Arabidopsis thaliana: one gene and its partners. The protein of the gene in region 3 purifies or fractionates together with the protein of the main gene of each other region. This does not show direct contact. Each region holds a gene or a part of one and is shown on either strand. Other genes may lie near its edges. The genes, in order: BOU, RABE1b, SRT2 and AAC2.

The links.
Region 1: the proteins of SRT2 (region 3) and BOU purify together in Arabidopsis thaliana (affinity purification with mass spectrometry, with the first as the bait; one study listed by BioGRID). This does not show direct contact.
Region 2: the proteins of SRT2 (region 3) and RABE1b purify together in Arabidopsis thaliana (affinity purification with mass spectrometry, with the first as the bait; one study listed by BioGRID). This does not show direct contact.
Region 4: the proteins of SRT2 (region 3) and AAC2 purify together in Arabidopsis thaliana (affinity purification with mass spectrometry, with the first as the bait; one study listed by BioGRID). This does not show direct contact.

The regions. Positions count from the first base shown.
Region 1 is NC_003076.8:18,988,036-18,992,585, forward strand, and holds BOU (Mitochondrial substrate carrier family protein), read right to left. Parts: upstream 2,833-4,550; 5' UTR 2,460-2,832; exon of another isoform or gene 2,236-2,459; intron 1,778-2,235; 5' UTR 1,776-1,777; coding exon 1,384-1,775; intron 1,255-1,383; coding exon 744-1,254; 3' UTR 553-743; downstream 1-552. Other genes in the region: MSP2 (microspore-specific promoter 2), read right to left, coding at 56-133; AT5G46810 (carboxyl-terminal proteinase-like protein, putative (DUF239)), read left to right, coding at 3,129-3,140, 3,475-3,558, 3,668-3,874, 3,971-4,135, 4,311-4,364, 4,457-4,550. UniProt on the Arabidopsis thaliana protein: Involved in photorespiratory metabolism. Acts probably as a carrier for a glycine decarboxylase (GDC) cofactor or, alternatively, may act as a mitochondrial glycine shuttle. Involved in the transition from the embryonic stage to the juvenile autotrophic stage.
Region 2 is NC_003075.7:10,988,049-10,993,055, reverse strand, and holds RABE1b (RAB GTPase homolog E1B), read right to left. Parts: upstream 3,105-5,007; 5' UTR 3,021-3,104; coding exon 1,590-3,020; 3' UTR 1,563-1,589; exon of another isoform or gene 1,145-1,562; intron 1,016-1,144; exon of another isoform or gene 814-1,015; intron 794-813; 3' UTR 691-793; intron 611-690; 3' UTR 547-610; downstream 1-546. Other genes in the region: AT4G20350 (oxidoreductase), read right to left, coding at 3,323-3,469, 3,575-3,621, 3,729-3,951, 4,088-4,200, 4,300-4,338, 4,432-4,492, 4,570-4,665. UniProt on the Arabidopsis thaliana protein: This protein promotes the GTP-dependent binding of aminoacyl-tRNA to the A-site of ribosomes during protein biosynthesis.
Region 3 is NC_003076.8:2,869,556-2,874,298, reverse strand, and holds SRT2 (sirtuin 2), read right to left. Parts: upstream 2,892-4,743; 5' UTR 2,741-2,891; coding exon 2,739-2,740; exon of another isoform or gene 2,652-2,738; coding exon 2,608-2,651; intron 2,481-2,607; coding exon 2,243-2,480; intron 2,161-2,242; coding exon 2,095-2,160; intron 1,995-2,094; coding exon 1,949-1,994; coding exon of another isoform or gene 1,938-1,948; intron 1,840-1,937; coding exon 1,679-1,839; intron 1,603-1,678; coding exon 1,473-1,602; intron 1,394-1,472; coding exon 1,229-1,393; intron 1,156-1,228; coding exon 1,028-1,155; coding exon of another isoform or gene 1,024-1,027; exon of another isoform or gene 956-1,023; coding exon 856-955; intron 737-855; coding exon 686-736; 3' UTR 520-685; downstream 1-519. Other genes in the region: AT5G09240 (ssDNA-binding transcriptional regulator), read left to right, coding at 234-406; AT5G09225 (uncharacterized protein), read left to right, coding at 3,920-4,042, 4,660-4,743. UniProt on the Arabidopsis thaliana protein: NAD-dependent protein deacylase. Catalyzes the NAD-dependent hydrolysis of acyl groups from lysine residues.
Region 4 is NC_003076.8:4,333,702-4,338,236, reverse strand, and holds AAC2 (ADP/ATP carrier 2), read right to left. Parts: upstream 2,966-4,535; 5' UTR 2,670-2,965; intron 2,643-2,669; exon of another isoform or gene 2,562-2,642; intron 2,212-2,561; 5' UTR 2,204-2,211; coding exon 1,718-2,203; intron 1,632-1,717; coding exon 1,257-1,631; intron 1,155-1,256; coding exon 858-1,154; 3' UTR 543-857; downstream 1-542. UniProt on the Arabidopsis thaliana protein: ADP:ATP antiporter that mediates import of ADP into the mitochondrial matrix for ATP synthesis, and export of ATP out to fuel the cell.

The DNA of each region.
Region 1 (4,550 bases), about 16 Mb from region 3:
AGTACTAATGTATGTTTTCTTAACTTAGGAACCAAAGACAAAAAAAACAATTTACAACGAAATCCAAGTGTTCAAGCCTAGAGAGCATAGGCAAAGAAGAGAGTGAATGTTTTTGTTGCTCAATCGTCTCCATAAGACTTGTTATTTTTTTGGGATTTCTCTAACATGTGATATTATTTTTTTGGTTTATATAGTGGAAAAAGTTATATAGATAAGTAAAAAAATGTAAGACGATAAAGGAAAAAGCAGTTGAGTTCCCTCCTTTTTTTCCTGTTGACACTCTCTACTTGTACAGAGTCATACGCTAATCTGTTATTTAATTTAAATTAACAAAATAGTCTAAATATAAATATTAACTCCAATTTATAAACCAAAAATAGAAAAATTAAACCCCTATATTATAAACACCTAAAAGGCTAAAAACTTTAAATTCGTAACCCCACAATATAAACCTAATTTTTATAGATTAAACCCTTAAACAAACCCCTTAGCGAACTCTTAAATCACTAAGTTCGGTTTAGTTTGATTTAGTTACCATCCGATTCTGTTTTTGTTCGGTTCAATTCGGTTAAAATGTTAATGTCAACCACTAGTTCTTCTGTGTAAGAAATACTGAAATAAACTGTGTAAATGGTACATAAATTTTGCAGAAATTTTTTAAGAATCAAATCTAAAAACAGAGAGGTTAATCGCAATGGAACATTCAGAAATCGAACCAACAGTTAAACCCAAACCGAACCGGTTTATCCCAAGCTTGACCTTGTCATCTCATAAGCCAAGAAGCAAGCAGCATTAGCAGGAACACTCCTAGCCATAGCTGGACCAAATCCTTTATACAAACCTTTAACTCCTTCAGATTTCAGAATCTTCCGAAAAGCATCCATCGACCCCGTGTATCTCGGGTTTTTGTAATCGTCGACTTGAAGAACACTCTTCACAACATCTGTCGGATATACTATTCCCCAAAAAGAAGCACCAGCGACTCCACCCGCCATGATCAATGACCCTTGTCCTAAGCTTGAAGTGTCTGAACCACCGGCTAAAAACCGCTTGAAAGCTTCGTAGGCTGCAAACATTGTTGCATTTCCCGGGACTTCACGGGCGAATGTAGGGAATAAACCTTTGAATAGACCTCGTGCTCCTCCTTCTGATCGTAGGACATGACGGGCTACATCCATTGGTCCACCGTATTTCACGGCTGCAACCACTGAGCTTGTAGTAGAGGCACCAGCTAATGCACCTTGTGCTTGCAACCTGATGGAGAAACAAGATTAAACACACACACAAAGAGACATGTTTTAGTTCTGTTTCAGTCTAGAGCTTGAGTTAAAAGCACATGTATATATAGGCTCTGATTGGTAATACATGTAAAAAGAACCTAACCTGCACTTGATCAACTCGGTAGGACAAGCAAGGAACGAAACAGCGAAACCAGCGCCTGCACCGGCCACAAACTGTTGACTAATGGTCAAAGGAACTCCAGCTTCAGACCTAAGCAGCCCTTCCATTTGACCTCTCACAGTGAACAAAACCGCATTGAAGGCAGCAACGGTTGCAAGTGGAGCTCCCATACCTTTATACAAACCTTTGGTTCCTTCAGAAGCAACGGTCTGTTTAACCGCATCGATTGCACCGGTGTACCTTGGAAGTTGGCCTGGTGCTGGAGTCGGTTGGCTCTGAAGTTTGACCTTGATAGTGTCAAATGGATGACCAACAACTAGTTGAGCAGCTCCTCCAACAGTCCCTGAAGCTAAATCCTTCCACGCATCCGCCATTTCTAAGAAACAATAAATCAATCAAATTTCTCAGAATCAACCAAAAAAATCAAAAGTTTTTGTTAATTAAGAATAAGTTTTACACCACTTGAAACAATTTTCTCAGAACAAACCAAAATCAAAACCTTTGTTAATGAATACTTGTCATTTAACTTGTGACCTAAACCACTTTAACTAACCAAATGTTTCATAAACCAACCAAACTCACTACTTTTTGTTAATGAATAATCCTTCAAGAGTCAAGATTAACTTATAACCTAACCACTTAAACCAACTATATCATCATCCAAAATCAGTACTTTTGTCACTTGTGACCTGAACCACTTAGCCAATCAAAACGTATAAACAAACCAAGTTTGAATATAACAAAGACGTTTCAAAGAGTTTTTCTCATAAAAAGTGGATATTTTTATTTTGCTTCCAAGAAAGTAGGAATCTTATGATCATTTCCAATCATTACCAAATCAAAGGATTCAGAAGACAATGAGAGAAATCTTAACAAAACCTGAAAATGTAACCAAACTCAAACTCTAAAAACATGTCATTTTTCCTCAGTTGTCTCTGAGAAAGTTTGAATCTTTTAATCCCTAGAACTCAAATGGTGGATTCATAAGACAATGAGGTGAAATCAGATCAAAAACCCAGAAGGAAAATTCAATCAAAAGTGATTAAATATTAGCTTACCAACGATTGATTAGAGAGAATCCAATCGATATCAGATGGATCCGAGAAAGGTTAGCCGCTCGAATAAAAATGAAAAAAAAACAAATCCAGATGCGAATCCACGGGATAGAGATTCAGAGACACAAAACGAGTGATCAGATAAAATCCAAAAAGAAACAAAAAAGGATTCAAGTGGACATAAAAGTTTTTAACTTTTAACCACTCGAATGGCTATCTACGACACAACCACAAAGGATGGAGCTTTGCAGAGACTGAAGTTTTGTTTGTTTGTTTTGTCTCTTTAAATTTTCTTTAAGAGAAAACGTTTTTGTTTTAAGTGTGGTTGGTGAAAAATGAAGATCAGTTTGGCTGGTCAGACGTTCGATCAGCTTAATCGGTCGGTTAACGTATAACGTATGTGTGGTTCAGGATTCCAATTTGGTTTAAGGATTGAGCTGGTTTGGAGCTGATTGGGTTTCTATGTTTGAAGATGGGCCGTGGAGTTCTTGTTCAGCCCAAGCTCATCCGGAATTGTTGAAGCTGTTATAAGCCTAACAAAACAATATAAGGTATTTTAGGTATGAAAATAACTCAATTAACTTTATATTTTATGAATTAGTTTACTAATTAAAAATATTACTAATTTAATATATTGGGTCAATAAGTTCTTTTCTCAAAAGAATATTATGAATGGGGTCAAAGGTAGGAAATGATCATATGGCATCAACATGAAAATTTTTATACAAAAACATTTAAGAATTAATATTATTAAGTAAATTACCTTATAATTAAGAATTTTCAGATGACCACCTTCCCTATATATACATTGGCTCCGCCTCAACGGCTGAACATAGAAAATATGCAAACTAAGCAAATGGCTTCTCCTTGGTTGTTGATCATCATATTCTCTCTTTCATTACTTTGCTTCCATGGAAGGTCTCAAAATACTAAGGTCTGTCACCATTTTGTAAGCACTTTGATATAAACTTAAATATATAATACAAATAAAGTTAAAAAAAATTCTCATATCTTGTAGCCTCAAGAACCTGAATACGAATGCGTTGATATCTACAAACAACCTTCGCTACAACACCCTAAACTCCAAAATCACCGAATCCAAGTATATTTCTATATATTTACATTTGTTTGTCGATTTCCTGCACCTAATGTTTATCATGATCATATACTTATCCCTATTTGATTGATATATTTTTTGATGCATCACATAGATGAGACCGAGCGATGAAGCCTTAGCCATGCTCTCAGGAGATACATCATCAGAAAACTTATCAAACGATGAAATGGTTGCTGAGTTTGATATACCAGAAGAAGGATGTCCTCAAGGACAAGTACCAATCCATAAACCAAGAAATAATTTCAACCACACCGAGAAACATTTTCAGCCTATTAATGGATTTGGAACTGTTGGTCAACATGTGAAGTGACTAAAATTTTATACCTTTACTATATATGATCCAAACCATTTGATGTGTATTTTTTTTTTGAAAAAACTGATGTGTATATATATACAGGCTGCGGTAATGAAGAAAATCGATGCCACCCCGTGGCGTGGAGCATCAGCATGGATAAGTATTTACCAACCTAAATTGACAAATAAAGAGCAATTCAGCATGGCTTTCATTTGGCTCAATACTGAGTATGAAGGCGAACGCACCAGTGCCCACTTTGGTTGGGCTGTAAGAATTTAATTTTTTGTTTTGTTTTTTTAAATCGTGATATACTAGATCAAAATTAAACCCACTTAATGCAACCATCATTTAGCATATGTATAATTAGTTCATTTGAATAAATATCATGGTTAAAAGTTTTACTGATAACTTTTTTTTTTTACTACGTATGAAATATATTAAGGTGATTCCTGCACTATATGGCGATAGCCGTACACGACTTACTGCATACTGGAGTGTGAGTAACAATGTCACCAATTATCGTCTGTCCCTATCACAAGAAAGTAGATTTTTTTTTTCTCTTCTTTAACCCCAAATCGTTTTTTGCAGCAAGATACATTCGAAAGCGGATGTTACAATATAAAATGTAAGGGTTTCGTTCAAATTGATAGGAGACTCTTTCTTGGAGCCGGTTTTGCGAACA
Region 2 (5,007 bases), on a different chromosome or scaffold from region 3:
TTTTTTGGGTTTTGCAGCTTTGAAGGTTCTTGAATCCCAAAGGTCAAGTTCTCACTGATAATGATGACGGTACAAAATATCACAAAAAATATCTTTAAGAGCATGCTTTTAAGCCTGGTTCAATCACAAAGATTGGCTGTGTCATGTTTTTGCAGATAGAGATGGTGTCTCAAGAGGAAACAGAAGATCTCACTAACCAGGTTAGTTACTGCAATGTCAATCAGAAGAATCATACTCACACCCGTTGAGAGTGTTCGCTCTGTACTACCGCCAACAACAAGAGTGAGTTTGAACATAGATTTGAGTTCACATCATTTGCATGAGACTATAAAGATTCTCGTGGATACTTCATTGCATTAATTTCAAACATCTTTAACTCTTTTTTTGCAGCTCGGGATCTAAGACATGAAACTTAATATTTCTTGCATGAAAAGAAAGCAGCTTCTTCATATTCTTGTATAAACTCTACTGATGTCACAAACTTGATCTCTCAAGTTTAATGAAGTATATGGTCAACCTTGCAAATAATCTTAAAATCTTGTGCCACTGACTTAAAAGGGGTGTCCTTTTGGCTCTGTCTTAGAACTATTTTTTCTCTATCCTCACGGGTCTACATCAAAAGCCTCGAAGATCAAAATTAAGAAAGAGATTATATATATTTTTATAGATTTATAGAAGATAAGAGCTCACCATTGGAAGAACAAGTTGGAAGATGAGGACACGTGAGATTCCTTGTGTCCATCTCATTACTTATCATGTCACTCTGTATTGCGAATCTTTCATTAAACAAATCCTATTAAAATAAACCATATCTCTAATCAGCGTCTACTATCTCTCTATATATACACAACACTTTAAAAAATACGAAAAACCAATATAGAATCATAGATATTGAGCAAAATGGTAAAGCAGGTTTTTTCACAGTTGGGTTTTGTGTTCTTTATGGTGCTTCTGCTTCTTCTTCGTTGCAACAGTCTTGTTCTTGCTTCTAAACAAGAATCACTCCCAAGAGCTGGTTAGTGTTCCATAGACTCTCATAGTATATATATTTTACACTCTACACTACACATATGTCAAGTCGTATGACTTAGTAAATTATTGTCTTCCATGAAAACTAACAATAATAATGATTGTTATTTGTTAGGGAGAAGAATGAGGAGTTATCAAACAAATGGTGAGATCGATGCAGGCCCATCTTTCAGTGGCAGAGGTGGTGGTCGCATTCCATAAGCTCTCTCTTTCCTCTTCTTCATTATCTCTTCACATTTCAACTTTCCTCTTTAAGTTCTTTATGTTATATTCTGCAATCTCCTTGAATTGTTGATGTAATCTGCCCACAGTGGTTTCAAATTAAGTGATTGGTCGTTGAGTACCAAATCCACATCAGAATCATATGGAGCGAGACAAAGATGAATAACAAGGATCAGAAAATCAAGAAATATATGACATTTTGATTTCAAGTTCTTATGGAAAATGGCACAAAAATAAATAAAAAAAGGTAAAAACTCAAAGAGTTTGAGAATCAAGAGTGAAACAAAAAGAAAGCAAGTAGAGATGCTCACTATATGAAACTCTCTAAAACCTTATAATCATTCGAGGATCGTCCCAATAACTCCAGCACCAACAGTCTTTCCTCCTTCTCTGATAGCAAACCTCATCCCTTGTTCACAAGCCACCGGCACAATAAGCTCAACAACAATCTTCACTCGATCACCGGGCATAACCATCTTCGACTCTTCATCTTTGTCGTTCATGATCTTCGTCACTTTACCCGTAACATCAGTCGTCCTCATGTAGAACTGAGGCCTGTACCCTGCAAAGAATGGAGAATGCCTTCCACCTTCCTCTTTCTTCAACACATAGATAATTGCTTCAAACTTGGTATGTGGAGTAATCGATCCCGGCTTAGCTAAAACCATACCTCTCTGAATATCAGCCTTTTGAATACCCCTAAGCAACAACCCTACATTGTCACCAGCTAAAGCCTCATCAAGAATCTTCTGAAACATTTCAACCCCAGTGACAGTGTAACTCCTAGTCTCCCTCAAACCCACTAAATCTACAGTCTCTCCTACCTTAACCGTACCTCTCTCGACACGCCCTGTAGCCACCGTACCACGTCCAGTGATAGAGAACACATCCTCAACAGCTAACAAGAATGGCAATTCAGTTTGTCTCTGAGGGATAGGGATGTAATCATCAACAGCATCCATAAGTTCATAAATCTTATCTACCCATTTGTTATCACCTCTCTTAACCTTAGGATTCTCAGTAAGAGTCTCAACGGCTAAAAGAGCAGAACCAGAGATAATCGGAATATCATCACCGTTAAATTCATAAGACGAGAGAAGCTCACGAACCTCAAGCTCAACGAGCTCTAGCAACTCTGCATCATCTACTTGATCCTCTTTGTTAAGAAACACAACCATATCAGGAACACCAACCTGCTTAGCCAAAAGGATATGCTCTTTAGTCTGAGGCATAGGACCATCGGCGCCGGAAACAACGAGGATAGCTCCGTCCATCTGTGCAGCTCCGGTAATCATATTCTTAACGTAATCAGCGTGACCAGGACAATCAACGTGAGCGTAGTGACGATTCTCAGTCTCGTACTCAACAGTAGCAGTGTTGATTGTGATACCACGAGCTCTCTCCTCCGGCGCAGCGTCAATCTCGTCGTACTTTTTAGCGACGCTGGAACCAATGGAAGCGAGAGCCATGGTTAGAGCTGCGGTTAAAGTAGTTTTCCCATGGTCAACATGACCGATGGTTCCGATGTTGACATGAGGCTTCTTCCTCTCGAACTTTCCACGAGCGGCGCGGACGGTGAAGGAGCGACGAGTGGATTGAGAAGCGGAGGTGGTGGTTAATGAGTAAGAAGGGAGGAAGGAGGAAGAGAGAGTTAGGGTTTTGAGTTTACCAGAGGTGGAAATGGCGGGACAGAGAGAAGGAGAAGGAGAGGAGTAGGAACAGAGAATTCTAGAGGAGGAAGAACAAGCGGCTGGAGCCGAAATCGCCATGGGAAGATGGAATTGGAGAGCAGAGGAGAGAAATCGAGAAGCTAGGGTTTGAAATTTTTTTGGAGAAGGAGAAGATTTGGGGATAGAGTGAGATTGTATAGTGATGTTATCTCTTTAGAAGAAAAATAAGAAAAAATAAAATAAAATGAAGGGCTCATATTTAATCCTATCCGTTGCAAGTTTTTTGTCCTCATGTTTCGGCAACTACAAATCGTGGCGTTTTATATTCCACACGTCACAAATCGTAACGTTTTTTACAGTCATAAACGACAAGATAAAACCAGTGTTATTAGGGAAGCAAGCTAGAATCTGAAGAGATTTTTACGGACTTTGGGAACTAGACGGCAAGTAAGTGAAACTCGAGTTTGGTCTCTGTGAAAAATCTTGTCACCATCTTTTCTTGAATCTTCTTCGTTAGAGTAAGCCAAAGCTTCAGCTTCATTAACGACCTGAAGAACATGAACCACAGTAAAATCACTGTCCTTTTACACTAATTTCACTACCATTTTACATATATGCGAATATGATAAAGAGCTTTATATTGTTGTATGTACCTGGTTGTAACATTGTGTTGGACTATCGCTAATGCCGTGGAGGAAATCTGAAAACAAGACAGGATAATATGAATTTCAACTGGATGTTTTTAAAATGTTCCTGATTACTCTTCTTTCACTCTATGTAGTTCAATTAAGGAGATGAGCAATTTACCTGAATATGCGTCATCTTTGAAGATGAGTAAGCTTTGAGGCATCAACAAGACAGAGAATGAGTCTCTCTCAGGGGCACAACTCTCTGCACAGGGACTTTGGTCTTTGGAAATGTAACCATCGCCTGATCTTAATCTCAAATGCGGAGTGAAGTCCATAACAACAGGTGAGCCAAGAGACAAGATAGCTACAACAGGAAAGTAAGCGGGTCCATCTTGATGCGGCTGTGGAAACAACAACCATGGAAAGTAACTAAAACTTGCTCATGAACTTTACACAGAAACTAAAACCACTGGAGTAAGAAGCTGCGTTTACAGCAAAAACATAACCAACAAAATAATCAGAGGACGGATAACGGACCATAATCCCTTGGTCAGGATGGTATTCATTGATGAGGACATGATTTATAGCAGAAGGGAACAGACCCGAGCTTTCATGAATTTCCGCTGTTATCTTTGTCAGCCAGGGAGGCACTGAAACAAAGAGAAAAGATACATATATACATACACTAGTATCTAGAACCTTTGATAATCAAGAATGATTGGATTGGACTTTTTTTCATTCTTACTTACACTCTTGTGGAACAAGACCCTTTTCATGGACCATACCACCTGAAGAAACAAACCAAAAGCTCAAGACTTTATTATGTCTCTTCAACAACCAAAAAAACAATCTAATGAAAACAAAAGTAAAAGCAAGTGTACCCCAGTTCTGTAATCTTCTGTTCTTTAATGTCTTCCACTTGGAACCAGATGCTCCATATATCTTACAAGACAGCAAAAGGGTAGTACATATAATCTCAAGATGTCAAATGCTTAAACAATTGGAGAGGAGAGTTTTACATGATTTAGGAGCTGAGTTTGCTCTTCGTCAGTTATGAAACCGGGAATGTAGAATACAGTTGGAGTAAGACCTACCCTGAATCTCTCTAACTCCATGACTGTCAAAAAATCGAAGTTGGGTTTCGATTTTTTTTTTAAAACAAATTAGAACACTTCTAATTGAATCATAACTACAATCGTAGCCAATTAAGCTAATTACTAGCAACGATTCGTCTGTCTTCTACTTAACCCGTTTTACTATCTCAAATTGTTGAAAAGAGAAAAAATTCAAAATAATGGCAAAAAGGATAAATGAATCTAACCAGAAATTCAATTAGGAAACAAAGCTATCGATAAACTCTAAAAGAGAAGAGACAGGATCGTTGCTTTCACTTGAGAGGAAGAATCTGAAAATACTCAGATCAATGGCCGATGGAGAAGGAGGAATAAAAACCAGGT
Region 3 (4,743 bases):
CCTTTGTTTTCATGTTTTGTTTCGTTAAGGTTCTGCATTTAGTTAGCAGATCTTAGGGACTTTTATTATATATCTAGTACTTCTGCGGTTTGGGACTGAGAGGAGGAGATGCGCAGAGTGTTTTCTTTTCATCAACAACGTCTTGGTTTTTGTCTCCTAGGGCCAGCTATATTAGTTTGCTTTCTTTGCATAATCATGTTGACAAGATTTTCGATGTCTCCTATATGTTGCAGGTATCTCTCTAAGCCTGGAACAGGTATTCACATCTCTCTTCCATTGTTTATGTCTTCCACACGTGCATATGTCCTGCTTATTACACGAGACCTTTTTCTTAATGCAGTGGAACGATCTTCGGAACCATGAGGAGGATATCGATAAGGCCCTCTCTGAGCTTTCTGAGGTTTAAAAGCTTGTGTAATCGGGTATTGGAAGGTGGCTTTGGTTGTTTTGGTTTGTTTTTCAGAACAACACCATGTTCTGCAAGTGTTAGCTGCTTCGAGTTAGTTCATGTGTTGAATCTATTATTTGATGTTGATTACTCTTTTATTTGATGTTGGATTTACAACTTGAGATACGTTGCAGGAATACAAGCATTCATTTTGATTAGTTATAAATAATATATATAGGTGATCTAAATGATAACATAGCTCTTGCCAAAGTTTACTTAAATGATCCGGACATTGTGCTAGAGAGCTGGGACACTGAGCGATCCCACGTCAAGAACTCTGTGCAATATCTGCAGCAAACCAATCACGAAATGACAAATTATTAAGGCTGACAATCATGAAATAATATGGATATTTAAGGCATTTTCAAGGCTGAAGGAAAGGGAAGAGCTTTATGCTATGCTCATACCTCACCAACCCTAGCATTGATTTTCAATGGAACAATGTCATCAGCTCTTGTTTCGCCTATATTTACAATTGCGGTCATAGCACCAGCCTCATGAGCCGCTCTGCAAAAGGTATATAGAAAGCTTCTTAGTAAGATGCAAACTCAAAACTGGATGATTATTCTCCTGCATCACCTGCAAAGGCGAAAAGCAGACATTGTCATTAAGGATGAACCCAACACGAGGAATGCATCGCTCTGTTTTGCAACTTCCATTGCTTGAGTAGCTCTTTCCTTCGGGATGTTGTCTCCAAAGAAAATTACCTTCAATTCAACGAGAACATAATAAGAAACAGAGCTAAACTGATTCGTCTCTATCTGATTAAGTCAATCTTACATCAGGCTTTAGGACTCCTTTGCACTTCTCACATACTGGTATATGAAAACCCTCTTCCCAAAACTTTTCGTCAATCTCGATATCACCATCAGGCCTTTGTTTCATGCCAAAGCTCTTCTCTGATCCTGGATCTCCATGATCAATACTTTCTATAGCTTCAGCCCACTACAGTTGAAACAAAAACGTTGTAACTTTGCGAGATGATACATTAATCCAGTTTATTCAGGTTATGGTATACACTGGCCTTAGGATTGATTGCTTTTAGCTGATCCTGAAACAAGTCTCGGGGAAAAGAGAAGCCGCACTCTAAGCACATAACAGTATATACTGTGCCATGTAATTCAAGTGGATCGCTCCCAGCACGATGATGCAACCTAACAACTTAGAGCTTAGAGTCAACATTCTTCACATCCAACAGAGATCCTACGGAAGAGGAACTGAAGGATATACCTGTCAACATTTTGTGTGATCATAAAATTTATTCGTCCAGCTTTTTCTAGTGATGCTAAAGCAGTATGAGCTGGTCCTGGTTGTGCTGCAGTGAACCTCCTCCATCCAGCGTAACTCCTCGCCCAATACCGCCTACGAGCTCGGCTTGATCGAGTAAACTCCTGTGAAGGAGGTTGTAGACAATAGATTAATACAGTTATACAATAGTAAAATGATCCAAGGTTTGCATTAAGAACTGTAAAGATTTCATAGATCTTGCCTTCAGATCACCTGATGGGTAATTGGTTTGAAACCAGAACTGTATGCTCCATTGGGACTGCACCAAATCATCAAATGGAACCACATGTAACCCATGAGACCATCAAAACGAGAATGCAAGGCATCTTCAGACAAGACTAATCGATCAAATGAATTACCTTCTGTAATCCGGAATTCCACATTCTGTGCTAACCCCAGCTCCAGTCAAGATGGTGAGTCTCGAGCTGCCAAAAGAGAAGAGGAAAGCCATTAGATACAACACATGTATGCTCACTGCTGGAAAAAGATGGTGAAGGAAATATCAACCTTTGCTCAAAAAGTCGATACAACTTGTGGATATCTTCCATATTGGGGGGATCAGCATCTGGAACAATCTTTCTATCCCTCAGAAACCTTGGAGGTGCTTTTGATTCATTCCCCAAAGAACCACCAGGGATCGAAACGCGACACGTTGTTCTCACAAACCGTCTGCATCCTTTAAACAACATAACCAAGTTTCCCCCAGACTGCAGCGGCCGGTACATACTTCGCGACGGAAACAAATCTAGAAGAAGGAAAAGAAGAAAAACTCAGCAACATTATTAACTCATTGCATTTGCATAGGTAAGTAATGAATCAAAACAAGCTAGGACACAAAGATGAGGAAGAACATTCATTATTCTCATACTTGCCTGTAGATACACCTCCAAACACTCTTCTCATGTTCATAGAAAGCCTAATAAATCGCAGAGATGAATCTATGATCACAATTTCACTAGCAAAAAAAAGTAATGGAGAAATGAATCTATGATAAGCCAATTACATTCAATGAAGAAGATCTAGCTAGAAAGTATCGTACTACTGAGATCAAAATAAAGCCACCAATCGAGTTTTTCACCGAGAAGCTAACAGATTGAAATTAATACCCAAGAGCATATATAGTAATAAGATTACCTTGAGAGGTCGTTAATGGCGGATGAAACGAGATTTCTTCAGTTTTGCGTTTTATTTTTTTCCAGAATTTTTTGTTGTTGTTGAAGACAAGGTGGCAAAAATCGGACGTCTGAAACTCATTATTGGCTAAGCAAGTAGCCACGTAGCGCAATTATCCACCGTTGAATAGTTCACTAATGCAAACGACGTCGTTATTGGAATAAAACAGAAACCGCATACGTCGATTTTGTTCTCTCTCTGCGGACGAAGCTCTCTCTCTTTAGCTTCGATCTCTCCCTCGCTTCGATCTCTCTCTCGACTGCTACTCCTGGTTAGTTCTCTGTCAAATATTCGTTCATGTGACTCTCGTCGATTTTTGTCTTGATGCAACTTCATCGCTTTGTTCTTCGCTATTCGTTGTTATTGTTGATTCCGCATATGCTTCCTTTGATTTCAGCTTGTAGGTTTGTCCAAATTTCACTTGCTCTGTTCTTATTGTTGTTGCCAACCAAGTGTTTGATGAAATGCCTCACAGAATCAGTGGTTGTTTTTTTTTTGGTAGAGCTTGTAATCACTTGTGCTTTGTTTATTTTTGGATATGTATGCTGCTTGGAGCCACATTAGATTATTCTTGATTCATTGTTTTTATGAACTCTAGTAGTGTTTTTTAACTGATTCTTAATACCTCTATTATCTTGTGTATGAGAAACAAGTTTATTAACTCGATTCTGTACTTTATTGTTCTTTATGATTCCAAAGATTACTTTTGTTTATATCATTCGATTATTTTCTACTTAATGATGTTTTTCAATTTTCTCTACTACAGGAATGTACATTTGTTGATGGAAGTTTCTTCAGAATTGATTTCAAAATCTCTGGTAAGTCACTTGAAGCAAACTGCAATAATAATGTTGAATGGAAACGTTTACTAGGAAAGGCTTTTACTTTGAATTTGATTATGTTTTGAGAAGATAATAGGATTCAACTGAATCAGTATAGTTAATGGTAGTAGTAATTGAGATATATGGACTAAATAATTACAGAGCTGAAGATTCTTGACTTGGAACAAATATGCCTCACAGAACAAGGCCGTTGAAGGGACTCTTGCTTTTCACTGGAATAAACTTTGTGTTGGTGCAGACCATTACTCCAGTCTATGACTTTGTCTGCTTCTTGCCTTACTGGGAGAGAAGGGTATGTTTTAGATTTTAAACTCTCAAGACTATAATATCAATTTCTGTTTTCGTTATTGTTCCAATGTCTCCAAGTGTGTACTTTAACTTGGAGACAAATACAATGATCACTTCCTGTTTTCATTATGTTTCTGTATCTCCCAAGTGTGTAGATTAACTCATCTGGTTCATGATCATGGTAACTAATTCTGATGCTTTGCTAGGGCAATTTAGCTTACATTTCTTTAAGGGCTCGAACCTCTTTTGTTCTGTGGTTAAATAGGTAGCTATATTGGTTCTCTTCTCGCTTAGATTTTAGATACAAACTAGTTATATTACTAAATACTGAGACTGTTAGCTAACTATTCAGATGATGGAGTCTGTTGTTTCTCAGAAAAATGTCATACAAGTTGCTTGGAGCTAACTATCTTGGCACAGTAGGTTATTTGCATAGGTAGCATGACGTATGCTCTCAGTTTCGACATTGTAAACTAACAAATTGGATCATGTTGCATTACCAAGCACGAAATAACTCTACTGTTATTTTTATTTTTTTCCCTCCGTTTCCTGGCGTCTTGTGTCATTACTGACTAACTTTAGTTTTGTTTGTTTCTCTGTTGTTACATTGAATCTCTACAGAGAGAGCGAATCCGGCAGGAGCGTGAAGCCGCAGCTGCATCCTTAAACTCAACACAAAAAGCTACTCAAGCATCTGTTGGATGA
Region 4 (4,535 bases), 1.5 Mb from region 3:
GTAATTAATACGAAGCGGAGTTGACTAACGGTGCGTCATTAACGAATTAATTATTAATAACAGTCGTCGAAAATGATTTGACAAAATGTGTGTCTTTGGATCGTGCCAATCAAAACCAAAGAATTCTCCTGATGGCTTTGAATATAATTTCAGGAAAAAAATATAGGAAGTGCAAGTGTTGTGGCATACCACGTTTAAGAAAAAAACATGGAATATTAAAGAAGAAAAACCTAATACGTGAATCGAAGTTAGCACACATAATTAACATGCTTTAGAAATTAGTATGGGCAATAATACTGCTTTTTTTTTTGGTAAGTTGGGTAATAATACAACTTGAGATTTGGTTTGCGACGTTCAATCTGATTTGATTATATGAACTATCTATTTCTATATGTCTTCATATTATTTCGTGTGTTTTGGTGGAAACGTGCCACTCGCCAGGATCTGATCGTAGCTGTCATTTTTACGTTAAAGAGATATTTGTCTTGGTTCATTGAACTCTTCTTGACGGTGGTACCTTTCCACGCCTTACATTTCCATCAATACGCGTTAGTAAAATCTTCAATAACATAGTGACGTTTCCTTCCGCAACAACGGTAGCAACAAAATAAAAAGGGACATCCTCACCATATAAAACATAGCCTGGTTCGAAGGAGTCAAATCTCCCTCCCATACAAAATTTATTCCATATAACAAAAACCTTATCGTCGAACAGATAATATTTCCCCTTGCTCCTCTCTAATTTTATGGGGAAATGATTTCATCAACATCTTTTTTATAAAAGAAATCTGAAACTGCAAAAAAAATGGAGAAAAAAACAAAAGCCGAAGCTTAATGACTGCGGGATTTGGTGGTACTTAGGCACCTCCAGATCCATACTTCTTGCCGAAGACGATTAACTGCAGCTTGTCGTAGCCAGCAAGCACACCAGCACCTGCAACGGCACGCAGGATGTTGGCACCCGCACCCTTGAACAGAGACTTGGCTCCTTCCTTCTTCACGATCTGTGAGAACGCATCAAATGAGCTCTTGTACTTCACCGCTTCACCTGATGTCATCATCATTCTTCTTCTAACCGTGTCAATCGGGTACGACGCAAGACCCGCACCATTGGTGATGAGCCATCCAAGAGCAAAACTAGCGAAGAAACTGTCCTGAAATATCCAGCAAGGAAAGAAATAACAACATTAGAATCAGGATCCCTGATTTCTTAAGCTGTCACCTTACAGATATATAAGAATAGAGCTCAAACAAACCTGCAGGTCTCCAGTGAGGAGGACAGGCTTCACAGAGTCGTACAGTCCAAAGTAGAGACCACGGTAGACAATGATACCAGCACACGAGATGTTGAAACCACGGTAAAGTCCAGCAATACCATCTGACTTGAGGGTCTTCTTGTAGACATCAACAAGACCATTGAACTGCCTTTCACCTCCTCCCTTCTTGGCAGACTTGGAGTCATTGGCAAGACGGGTACGTGCATAGTCAAGAGAGTACACAAAGAGAAGGGAAGAGGCACCAGCAGCACCTCCAGATGCCAAGTTACCAGCAAACCACTTCCAGTAGCCATCCTTGTCTTTCTTGAAGTTGAAAAGCCTCTTGAAGTAATCTTTGAATGCAAAGTTCAAGGCCTAGCAAGTGAGAGATAGATCAGTAACCAATACATCATATATAACTAAGACATTTTAAAAAAGCAAAGAAGTGAAACTAAACCAACCTGAGTGGGGAAGTAACGGATAACATTAGCGGTGTTTCCTCTCCACAACGAACCAATACCTTCATCCCTAATTGTCCTGCCGAAACAGTCACGAATACCCTTGTATGGCTCAGTAAGCCTTCCAGCCTTAAGCATCTCATCCTGGTTTTGAATCAAAAGCTTGACACGCTCAATGGGAGCAGCAGCAGTCTTTGACACAGCAGCAGAAACACCACCCATCATGAAATCAATAGCAAAGTTAGTAAATCCCTTCTCTCCTGGAGCTTGGACAAACACAGGAGAAGTAGTAGTTGCAATCTGAGATGCAGCCACAAGAGGATATTGAAATGCAGCATTGGAGTAGTTTCCGTAAGCTGCATGTTTCTGGTATGTAGCAGGCCTTTTGGAAGCCGAAGCATAACCACGAATGTCCTGAGAAACACTCGAGCTCAAGAGTTGGCCAGAAACCTTCTGAAGAATCGTGGGGTGCTGAGTCTGTTCAACCATTTTAACCTCTACAAAATTAAACAACCCGTAGTGTAAGAAATGGAATATGCTATAAAGTGCAGTAAAAGCAATTGTGCATCTCCAGTGGAATAGAACACTTATCCACCATTAAGCATAAGAGAGGCTACATGTAGAAACGATGCAATCAGAAACTAAACCATGAACACATTCAGACGCAGAAAATTTAGGTTAAACAGATCCATACAACAGTGTAACTTAATGGCGGAAAATAAGAGTAACAGAGCCGAATAATCCAGGATCTCGATACATTCACACTCCACACGAGATCTACACTACATTCAATCTAGGATTACGCAGAGAAACCATGAGATCATCAAGACGAAACGAATCATTTTACCTTGTTGATGATATATAAGACTGTGAAGCAGATCAATAGAATCAAATGAAGAACAGAGATAAACAACGAGATTTAAAGCGATAGAGATCTCAGAGTAACCAGAATTACCTAAGAAAATCGATGGCAATGCGAAATTGAGGGAGCGAGATTCTTCGCCCTTCGTTGTCGGAGCTGAGCGAAGAAGAAGAAATGAGAGAATTCTCTTTGTGGGGAAGAGGCGAGTTTTGACACGAGCCTTTTATTGGCTCCAGAAATAGGGTCACACTAGAAAGAATCAAGTGTAACGCACTATTCTATACACTCGGGGACTGTAGGACCGTTAGATCATCGAGATTGAAATTGTGAGCCGTTGATTGTAATTGCTAAAATGAATAATATAATTATGGAAGTATACGACTGCGTTATCGGCCGTAGATCATGCCACCTATTTGGCGCCGGAAATCTGGAATGTTATTGGCCATTGACGGGTTTTTGTAGTCAACTGTCTACAGGGTAACGTTTCAAATATTTCTTAGTTTATATTTTGTTTTGGTCAAAGTGCTTTAATCTTTAATATTTGTTTTGACCAACAGTATATTTACAAAAAAAAATGGTGTTTTGGAAAAAAAAAAAAAAAAGAACAAAAACACAATATCAGTCCACCAGTGTTACGTTCCTCGCCTCCTCCTCCGTCGGCTAGTTGTACAAAATTTTAGTGGATCGCTATAATGGTCATCTTCAGGGTGTCATATGTTTTGAGTCAGAATTTCGAATGTCGAAGTGATTCAGTAATGGTTGGGAAGGCTTGTGATGCTGCCTCATCCCAGTCCAAATGTATTTGCCTTGACTCTTGAAGAGCTCTAAATCCCACGTCTTCTATCTAGCTCTAAAGTATGCTATGTCACTTTGGTTGTGCTTCACCTTCTTTGTTTTCAGCTCATGTTTGTTCATCTTCACATAAAGGCATGTTGAAAATGGAAAGGTGCAAGATCAGTCAATATGTTCATCTTCACATAAAGGCATGTTTAAGGCAAGGTGATTGTATCTCTCCTTATCTCTTTATTTTGGTAATGGAGGTGTTATCCAGAATGTTGGACAGTGGGCTGTTGGAGGGCAAGTTTTCTGCTCATCCTTTGTGTATCACTCCTCGCCTAACTCATCTAGCTTTCGCAGATGATTTATTGGTTTTCTCAGATGGTTCTCAGCACTCTCTCCTTGGTATTAGTGGTATACTGCAAACTTTCCATTCCTTTTCCGGTTTGGACATGAACCCTTCAAAGTCTGAGCTGTTTTTTGGAGGTTATGGGGATTCTGAAGCTGCTGTTATTGCTGACTTGATTGGGATTCGAATAGGTGTTTTTCCCTCTCGGTATCTTGGCTTGCCGCTGAACCCGACTAAGCTTTCTCTTGCCACACTTCAACCTTTTATTCAAAAGATTACCGAGCAGCTTAACTCCTGGACAACCAAGTTTCTCTCTTATGCTGGGAAAATCCGGTTAATAGTATCTGTTGTTTATGGGAAAGTGAACTTCTGGAGTCAAGTCTTTGTTCTACCAAAGGGTTTTTATAAGAAAATTGACAATCTCTGCTCTGCTTTTTTGTGGAAAAATACTACTTCGTCTGCAAGAGGTGCAAGAGTTGCTTGGAAGGACATTTGTAAGACAAAAGAGGAGGGTGGGTTAGGTATTCGATCTCTTGAGGAATTTGCTACTGTTTTCAGGTTGAAACAGGTTTGGCACCTCTTTACTAGAAGGGGCTCATTGTGGGTTATGTGGTTGGACCATAACATCTTCGGAAGAAGGAACTATTGGTTGATGGATAGCACACCACGTCTATCTTGGAACATTAGGAAGATGTTGGAAGTAAAATCTGTGTTCCAGAGATTGATTAAATGTCAGATGCGAGACGGTATGAAAGCCTCTTTCTGGTTTGATTATTGGACAAGCCTTGGTCCCCTTATTGAGCTTTTTGGTCAGTTGGGCCCAAGAGAGCTTC